Drosophila melanogaster: one gene and its partner. The protein of the gene in region 2 interacts with the protein of the main gene of each other region in a pairwise test. Each region holds a gene or a part of one and is shown on either strand. Other genes may lie near its edges.

Region 1 (5,025 bases), on a different chromosome or scaffold from region 2:
AAAGGCGAGTTTATCAGCAAACAGCTTCTGCTGTGCCCCAACTCAATCCAAATGCGAGACCCAATCCGAATCCCAAAAACCCTAATGCCACGGACAATGAAACGCAAACACACTCCAAGGAACTCAAAGTGAACTCGTGTATATATATATTATTTCTCGCCACGAGCCGTTTGACATTTGAGCGACTTTAAAGCTGGAATATTAATGCTCTTTTATTCCGCAATTTTCCTCACCCACATTCAATAAGACGATGGCAATAATAGTAATAATAACGCTGATGATATCCACAGTGAGACGCAATAGGTGTGTTTCTTCCAATAACAATTGTATCTTCGCCCAAGGTCTCTGCGGCTTATCCATCTGAATAATATGGGGCATGGGTGCAGTTGATTCGGAGTTATATGGGTTAAATGCTATCAGCAGTTACTTTCTCTTAACATTTCCGTTCTTAATACATTAATATAGTTGGTTGAAAACTGTAATACCACATAAGCCAAGCTATTGAGTACATTCCATTTCATAATAACAACTAATACATAATTCATTTCCACTCAATTGTGCCTCAAAGGTTGGCCCCCATAGAGACACATAGTACATTCCAAATTCAAGCCGGAACTTTTACAGCCCCTAAGCTCATCCCTTGGCAACCAGAAAAAGTGTATTTACAGTTTGTTGGAAAATTGTGAGCGGAAAACCCTCATGTACAGGGATAGTTATTCGCACCTCCTTCATGCCACCAAGCTACCCACCCAACAAACCATTGACAAGTTTCCACACATATCTCTACATACATATATGTATGTCATCGTGGGACCACCAAACTTGGGTTGCATGTTCCGTGGAGGGATCACGTGGTTCTGGGTGGACTTGAAACTACTGAATGACTTTTCATTTGCTTGTCAGAAAGTCAGCGTAAAAATGGGCAGCCACATCAAAGTGTTTAGCTGTCAGTGCGAATAACTTATAGCCCATAATCCCAACTGTATTTAACCCTTCCCTCTTTTCTTTAGTATCCATAAACTTTGCCAATTGGCCAACGGCAATTATCGATGTGTTAGCTGTAATTACTTGGTATCAGCCAATGCAAAAATGCAAATTAATTGCAACCAATATGCATACAGTACTTAGTGGATTCTACACATGGTCAAGACGTAGATGTATACAACAAATGCTCAGCGTGAGTAAATAAACAATAATTATGTAAATAACGAGCGCTTATATAATAAGCTAAGCTCACTTCAGGTTTGATTGTCAAGAATATGTCAAATGGAAACAGGGTGTCCCGGAAACTAGTTATAAGAAAAATCGTTAAGTTTATATAAATATATCATTTTCTGTATGAAATTCTGTTGCTTATTGTACATATTTTGTTGTTTATTATTCGTTGTTTATGAATGCTTTATAATGCTCCCAAGTATGTAAGTCGACTCCACACACCCTGTATATTTATGAGCAGCCTTCTCTATTGCAACCAAGTGTAACTGCGCTATAAACCAGAGAACTCAGTGATTTACCGTCTCGAGTTTTCCCTTTAATTGTTAATTAACAAGGCGGAACTTTTAATTGAGGACCAACTGCGTATGTAATTCGCATTACCCTAGGTTTTCACTACACCGATAATTTTTGTGTGGGAGTGAGTGCACTAATTTGAATACGACACTTAATTCGAATGCTTAACTTAATACAAAAAAACCTACAAACAGCTGCGGAGGCTGCTGAACCACGTATTTGCCAACGGAAATAGAGAACTATAAATAAAATAATATAATGCAACGCAAGTCAATATTTATTCCCCATTGTTTATTTATAATCTCCACATTGCACTGCGTACTTCAGTTTATTTTGCACGTGTCCAAGGTATTACATTATCGATTATAAGCAACCTATATCGAATGGTAGTTCCCAGAAGCGAATTGCTCGAACAAAAGATTGGCTTGGATTGGAAATGGGTATATGCCAACTATTCTTCGAATTATTCACACAAATTGCATACAACAATACCTTCGTGCCTGGCATTTTGTTATAACCACAAGCTAATGGAAAAAATCCCTAACAAAACAAAAACATGATTAATTCGGATTAGGAGTATCATTTCAATCAGAGTTTCGAAGAAAAGCGCATTTATTACTCTGCTGGAATTCCAACGCATATGGAGTATGAAATATACAAACTGCTGTGTCTGCTTCAACTAAAAAACAAATAAATTGTAATCAATCTCAATGGAAACCATCTGTTGCGGCTCTCAGCGGCTTAAAATCCACAAAATGTCCTCGAGTTGATTTCATCTCGGAAAACAAACAAGTCGCAACCAATGGACCGTTATTAAGAAGCTTAGCAGGACATTAAAAGGAAAAGTTTTGGGTCCATCATCTCCTGCAGCACAATTTAATGCCAGGCTAATGAGAAAACGGAACCGGGCAAATAAACAACTCAAACTTCGAGTGGCGGTGGCCAACCGGGCGTATACTTAATATCAATATAAGCTGACTTGCATGGGCCACCCGCGGCGTATACTTGATGCGGCCGACTTACCATTTGCTGCGATGCTTGGCATTCAAGTGCAGCCAACTGATGATCTCCTGCAGCTTCGTCTGACGCTCCTCATCCTCATCCCGATCGTCGTCGTCATCACCCGGCTGCAGATGATACGGATCGCGAGTGTGGTCCGTTATCATAAAGGTGGGCTTACTGTATCCATAGGGAGATGTCATCTTGGTTCACCTTACAAAAAAAAAAACCAACTCGATTTCGGCGTAATTTCGTACGCTTATCACATTTTTATTTGGCCTGCAGGGCGGCCAGTCTGGGCCAAATAAGCCAATTTCCAATTTTCACTTTATTCCTTGGCGCAAATTAATTAAAATTCAGTCAGTCGTTGTCGGCACGACTTTCCCTCTCGCGGCTGCCATAAAACTGCTGGCAGTCTCCTCTCCACATGGCGGACAGGTCGGGTCCTCCGTTTCACCTCCTCCATTCGCAATCCCTCGTGGCCATTTGTTTGTGAACTTAAAATACAATTTACCTATGGAACGAGCGCTGTGGAAAGTGTGGAAAGCGCAGCAGTAGCAGAGCAAATAAATAGCAACAACCACCCGAGGAAATCCCTCGCTGCTTTTCCACATTGTCTTATTCTCATTTATTGACCAGCAGTTGTCTTCTTTCCATATACTATATGCTATATACTCGCTTTTAATATATATGTATATGTACATGCAAGCACTTTCATATGCGGATATTCTGGTCAACATTGAACTTGGCAATGGTCAGTCTCAGGAATTATTTACGTTTGTTTATGTTTTCCAAACCAAGGTGCATATGGGATAAACTAGAAAACACGAGAATTATGATATTTATAATTTAACTTATTATATGTTTATATTGTGCTTTGAAATCTCTAAAATACAGACATCGCTTCGAATTTTAAATGTATCTAAATACTTGTAGAACTGCCTCTTATTGAAATTTGAAAATCAAATCTATAATTTTCCTTCGTTTTGTATTTATGGCCTGTTGAATTTTCACGATTTCCCCACTTCGACCTTAGACAATAAAGTCTAAATTTATAACATTTCACACGACATTAAAAACACCGCCTTGATGGACTACCAAAAGTGATTTCCATCAGTCCAGCCAAATTCCACGAAGGCGAACGAAAAACCATGTGTACTTTTATATTTATGGTATATTTTTATACATTTGCCAATCACAAATGAACGCTTAAATATAAATATTCTTATTTTATATGCCAAAAACACATGAAACACATCAAGAGGCGAATGTAAAAGGACAAAGACTACAGTAAAACTCACACAAAAAAACACACGATTAGATTCGAAGTGAAAAACATTTTCCATCATTAGATACAATAATATGTTATTCAGTATGTGTATTAAATAGGGAGTCTCAATGCCATTCAAAGACCACATGCGCCACCAGTAGATAGACAGTCATCAGGGTGATCTGTCCCAGCATCATGGGAAAAACTGTTCTCAGATATCGGGTGAAGGACAACTTATAGCCATGTTGCTCGGCAATTCCGGCTGCAATGACATTGGCTGATGCGCCATAGAGCGTTCCATTTCCGCCCATCGAAGCGCCCAGGGTCAGAGCCCAAACCAGTGGCTGGAGGGGCAGTCCCAGCGATGGCTTGGCCACCAGAGAGGTCACCAGCTTCACCATTATGGCTGCCACCGGAATACTATCCAATATGGATGATGCCAGCGCCGACATCCATAATATCATAAAGATGGCCATGGCCAGACGATGACTCTTTCCCACCGAAAGGATAACGTGCTCGGTGAGCTCACTGATGCAGGCGAAGATTCCCAATCTCTCCACGCATTCCATCATCACGAACATGGCGGCGAAGAAGAGCAGCGTGGTCCACTCGATGCGGTGCATCAAGTGCTCCATGTCATCGCGATTGAGGATGATCAGCAGCAGGATCACACCCAGCAGGGCCACCCAACCCAGGGGTAATGTCCTCCAGTGCGGCACGGATTGGATGAAGAAGCAAACAATGACGAAGAGTAGGGCTCCAGCGGATTGCAAAAGCAGCGTCTTGTTTTTGATGGGGTACTGGAAATGGATTGCTCAGCTATAAAGATCCCAGTTCAGTAAATCCACTTACTTTCTGCTTGAGCTCGTCCAGCGTATTCGTATAGACCTCCGTGGAGCCCACACCTTTTTGCAATCTTCTAAGGGTCCTTTTCAGTTGCTTAATCTTAGCCTGGAGCGTTCCCCTCACCAGCTGGGCATCCTTGGAACAGGAGGCCACTGCATTCAAGGCTCTCTGCCACACCTTCATCTCCCTACGCAGCTCACTCATCTCCTTGGGCTCATTGAGACGCAGTGCATCGATATTGTGATAGAAGAGGCGCAGGTACACACAACTTTGAATAACTGCTAGAATGACACCTGGAAATGTGTGGGCCACAAATGTGGGAAAAGTTACATCCTGAAAAGGTAGGGGAAATCTATATAACAGCTTGCATAACCTATATGTTATACCCACATTATCCACAA
Region 2 (4,208 bases):
CTTGTGGCACCTCTTTGGGTTCTTGCACTTCCGCTTGGGAATGCGGGTGTGGCACCAGTTGTTGCCCCTCCAACAAAGCTTTTTGTGAGTGGAAGCGGCCGTTGTTGTTGTTGTGGTCGATGCTGCAGTGGTGGTTGTTGTTGTGGTGGTGGCATCAGTTGTTGTTGTATTACTAGAAGATGAAGCCACCTGGATGGCCAGGGCAATAAGGGCAACCACGAACAGGTATTTCATCTTTGATGTTATTGTTGGTTATGTTGGTTAGCTGGCAAAGCAATTGATATTAGACTTGGCTTAAAAGCGGCGAAGGGCTGTTGTGATCAACTGATGTTGAAGTCACCCCATTTATAGTTCTCCAGTAATTTCCGGATTTAGAAAACTAGTATTAATTTGATTTCCTAACTGATCACAGAAATTTAAATATTTGGTCGTAAGACACCAGCTTTGAAAGTTTAATGCTGTAGCAAATATTTGCTTCACACAAATGACAGCCCAAACTTATGCTATAGTTTATTTTTGTTTATTATATATTTGTTTGTCATGGTAAATTGTCTAAGTATTATGTAGATATGGCCTCTATTTTGTTGTGCATTTCAGTACGAAACTGCGTGACGGATGCCATTTCATTTTGGTCCTTGAACTTAGTCATTAGACTCTGCCAAATAGCTTCGAATTTATCAGTTGTTACGAGACTTCTAAAGATACGTTCGATTTCCGCTTTGGGCCGCAAACAGGTGAAATCACTGTGAGTAAGGCCACGTAAAATGGCCAAATCCGGTGTTATAAGATCCTTGGCAGTTGTTTTATTCCCTTCGAGATTCTGGCTAATTGCTCCCGTATTATCCTTTGACTTGTTTTGAAGATCGGCGCAGAGCAAACGATATGTGGTGTCCAGACAACTAACATCGGATACATTGGTCAAGTTTCCCGTTTTCGGCAGAGAATTCTGAATCGAGAGAAGTCGAAAGAAATCTACATAATTCACCCGCTCCGTGGCACAGCCCTCGTCCACAATCAGCCGAAAATTGGACAAGGCCAGACGGATTTTTTGCGCATCCAGACGGATGTGAAAACTTCTGAAAATTTCCAAGATGCGTGCCAGTGGCAAGTGACCCGTTCCATCCGTGTCACTCCTCTCCAGCACTGAATTTAGTGCGTACTTGTGAAATTCCAGCTGGTTCCTCAAACTATGACGTTTTTTGTTCAAATAGCGTATGGCATCTAGTAGCCGGTTGGTTTTGTAGCAGGGTTCAATATTATTTAGCAGCATCTTCACATCGCCATTGCTGCGCAGAGGAACACCGAAAGTTATGTCGGGCACCGCAAAAGTGTACCTACAGACAGTCTAAAACTATTAATCAAAATCTATATCTATCTATACTTACTTTTTGTTTCGCATTCCGAGGGGTGCCTCGTTTCGATCCATAAAGTCCACTTGCGCCTTGCCAATAACCTTCAGGTGGTTCTCACCTTCCTCCAGACATCGCTTCACTTTCAGTCCAAAATCGCCGTGAGTATGTATATCTCCACAAGGTGATTTTCGATCAAATGGTTGGGCATATCTAAAAAATATTTAAGACGTTCATTAAATATGCACCATTGCATTTGTAGTGACCAATAGCTTGACCTGCGGTTAACCTGCTCCGAAGGAAAGTAGTGATTGTGGCTGATGATGTACTTGTCGTGGAAAGCCTCGTACTCCTTATTAACTTGCTCCGCCGACTTGGCCGGCAATATGACGTCGTAGAGACATTCATTTTGTGATTGACTCGATGGACTTCCGAAGGTTTGGCTTATATTGGTCACGTCTTCCGGTTTGGAGTACGTTTTCTTGACCCCACCCAAAGTGGCCTTTTTGAAGTACATTTCCTCGTAGAACTTCTCCTTGAAGGACATAAAGCGCGACTTTTGCAACTCGCTGGTGAGCAAATCCCGGATGCTGCTGCTGGGTTGAACGGAACCGGCTGGGAACTTCTGGGATTTTTTATTGATCTGCCCGTAATTGCGCCTAACTAGACTCTCAGCCAATTCTTCTGGATTGCTAATACTAAGACAAACTTTTACACCTTCCGCTCCATCTAATCCACTGGTGGACAATCCTGCAGTCGGTATATTTGCATTTCTGTCTATAAAGTGTCCCTTATTGGCCATGTTTATGAGTGTATTTATGTATATAGTGTGGGTTCAAGTGTTTTCAGAGTGCTTATACATATTACTGAGTGATAAAGCAGAACATCTTAAATAAATAAATAATTGTATTTATTGGTCTTGTAAATGAGTATGTTTACATGTCAAATAATTTATGGCTTAGTATTAGTTCAACTTTAGCTAGTCGTCTAGTCTATTGTACATGGTACTAGTACATCATTGCACGTCTCTCTCTGGCCGCGGAGATGGCATCTGTTTTTTCAGTACAGGTGGTGGTTCTTGTGCAGGACAAAGTCCCAGGTATCCTTCCATCGAAGACTGCGAACCTCATTTAAAGTCATTTTTCTCGCACCATAACTGAATGGTATAAACTTTGAGAAAATGCTAAGCACGCCCACCAGCCACAGGATTAGCATGAGGCGATAAAGGCGCACCAGATGGACACCACGTCCGGTGCAGAAGCGCCTGAGCAGATAGTCCAAATGCTCCACGACAAAGCACAATAAAAGTAACTTAAACACAAAGGCTGGCAAGTAATTGTGCAGGAAGAGTGTACGATCCACACAAAAATACGGAATATAGTGCATCACGTAGCCCATAAAAAAGGTGTCACCAGCTAATACGAATCGCTGCCACTCTTGCTCCGAAATATCAAAGCAAAGACGTTGCCGCCGCATCGCGTAGAAGGCGAGTAATCCGGCATAGACAAGTATTCCCATGGTGGCTGTGTACCAGAGTAGTATGTTTCCCAGCAAATAGATCTGCGCACTCGACTGTGAGTCCAACCAATAAGCGATGCCCTTGTCCATTAGCGGCCACTCGTGCGGCATCGAGCTGTACATGTGATTTGGCACTGACTTCGTTTGGAACAGCATCTTGGATTGTAGCTCCAGTAGCTTGGCCCAGAACGAGATGCGCGTCCGCTTTGTGGGTATCATCTCGGCAGTTAGCATCTGGCGCTCTCGCTCCCGATGATCCTCAGCTATAAAGGGTTGTAAATGAGGATAACGTATTTCTTCAAGTATCTCGAAGAGGACTTACTCTGTGTATAGCGGTGCTCCTCAACATTCCAAATGGCATCCTCATGTATTGCCTTTTCACGATCCGCCACCACCTCGTGCTGATTGAAACCCCATTCGGGAAGTTGGCGCCCACTGAACTTCAAGGAGGCTTCTGTGGACACGTGAACGAGGCGGACCTCCGACTTGATGGCATGCCAAATGTCACCTTCGGAATCGCGATTCAGAATCTCCACGCGCCACAACAGTTCACCGGCCATTTTGATCTCGTAATCTATGTAGCAGCTGACTTCTTGGCACTGCGGCGTCATTGCCGCAGCCACATCGTGTGAGTTCAGAGCTCGGCTCGTAATTCCATGGACCAACTGAATAATTTCACCGTGCCGAATGATATCCGGCTCATCACCCACCACCAGGTTCTCCTTTGTTGGTCGCTTAACCAGCCACCAGTTGTTCACATCCTTGAAGGAGTAGCAGGTGACCTGCTGCTGGTGGGAGGAGCCTCTCTTGTCCGGATACCGCACCGGATAGACAGCTGCATGCGAGTGCAGCCAACAGGTGCGTCCGTGGGTGTGTCGTAGTGTGATTTGGGATCCATGAACCACTGCCAATGGCTGTCCTTTTGTGATCGATGCCAATCCTCCATCTAACGAGGCCTGAAACGCGCTAGTCATGATGCTATCATGCGGTCCAGCCCGGTGCAGCGTCTTGAAGTGGATATAGAAGACTCCCAAGTAGACCGCCAATGGAATTCCAACAAAGATTAACAGGCGACTTATGGCATGCATCCATAGCTGGCGATCTTGAAAAAAATGGTTTTATTTTGATTTATTCAATCTCTATTATTATATCGTAAATCGTATTTGTAAATCTCAGAAAAAAAGGTATCTTACCGGTGAGACCGGCGTCGTAGAGCAGTTGCCACAGGTGTCGACACAGCAAATAAAAGGCTAGCCCCAGTGCCAAGAATCCGACGTACTTGACGGTTCCGGCGGCTCCCAAACAGACGGCAGCTGCCGTTCCAGTAAAGAACCATTCCAG

Evidence for each region.
Region 1: the proteins of CG32086 (region 2) and hoe1 interact in a two-hybrid assay, tested with the Drosophila melanogaster proteins (one large-scale study listed by BioGRID).

Annotation. Positions count from the first base shown.
Region 1 is NT_033779.5:4,929,382-4,934,406, forward strand, and holds the start of hoe1 (hoepel1), read right to left. Parts: upstream 3,004-5,025; 5' UTR 2,712-3,003; coding exon 2,533-2,711; intron 1-2,532. Other genes in the region: hoe2 (hoepel2), read right to left, coding at 3,904-4,578, 4,631-4,957, 5,015-5,025.
Region 2 is NT_037436.4:11,581,883-11,586,090, forward strand, and holds CG32086 (uncharacterized protein), read right to left. Parts: upstream 2,183-4,208; 5' UTR 2,152-2,182; coding exon 1,628-2,151; intron 1,563-1,627; coding exon 1,386-1,562; intron 1,335-1,385; coding exon 560-1,334; 3' UTR 519-559; downstream 1-518. Other genes in the region: CG33269 (uncharacterized protein), read right to left, coding at 1-234; rt (rotated abdomen), read right to left, coding at 2,409-3,130, 3,190-3,969, 4,061-4,208.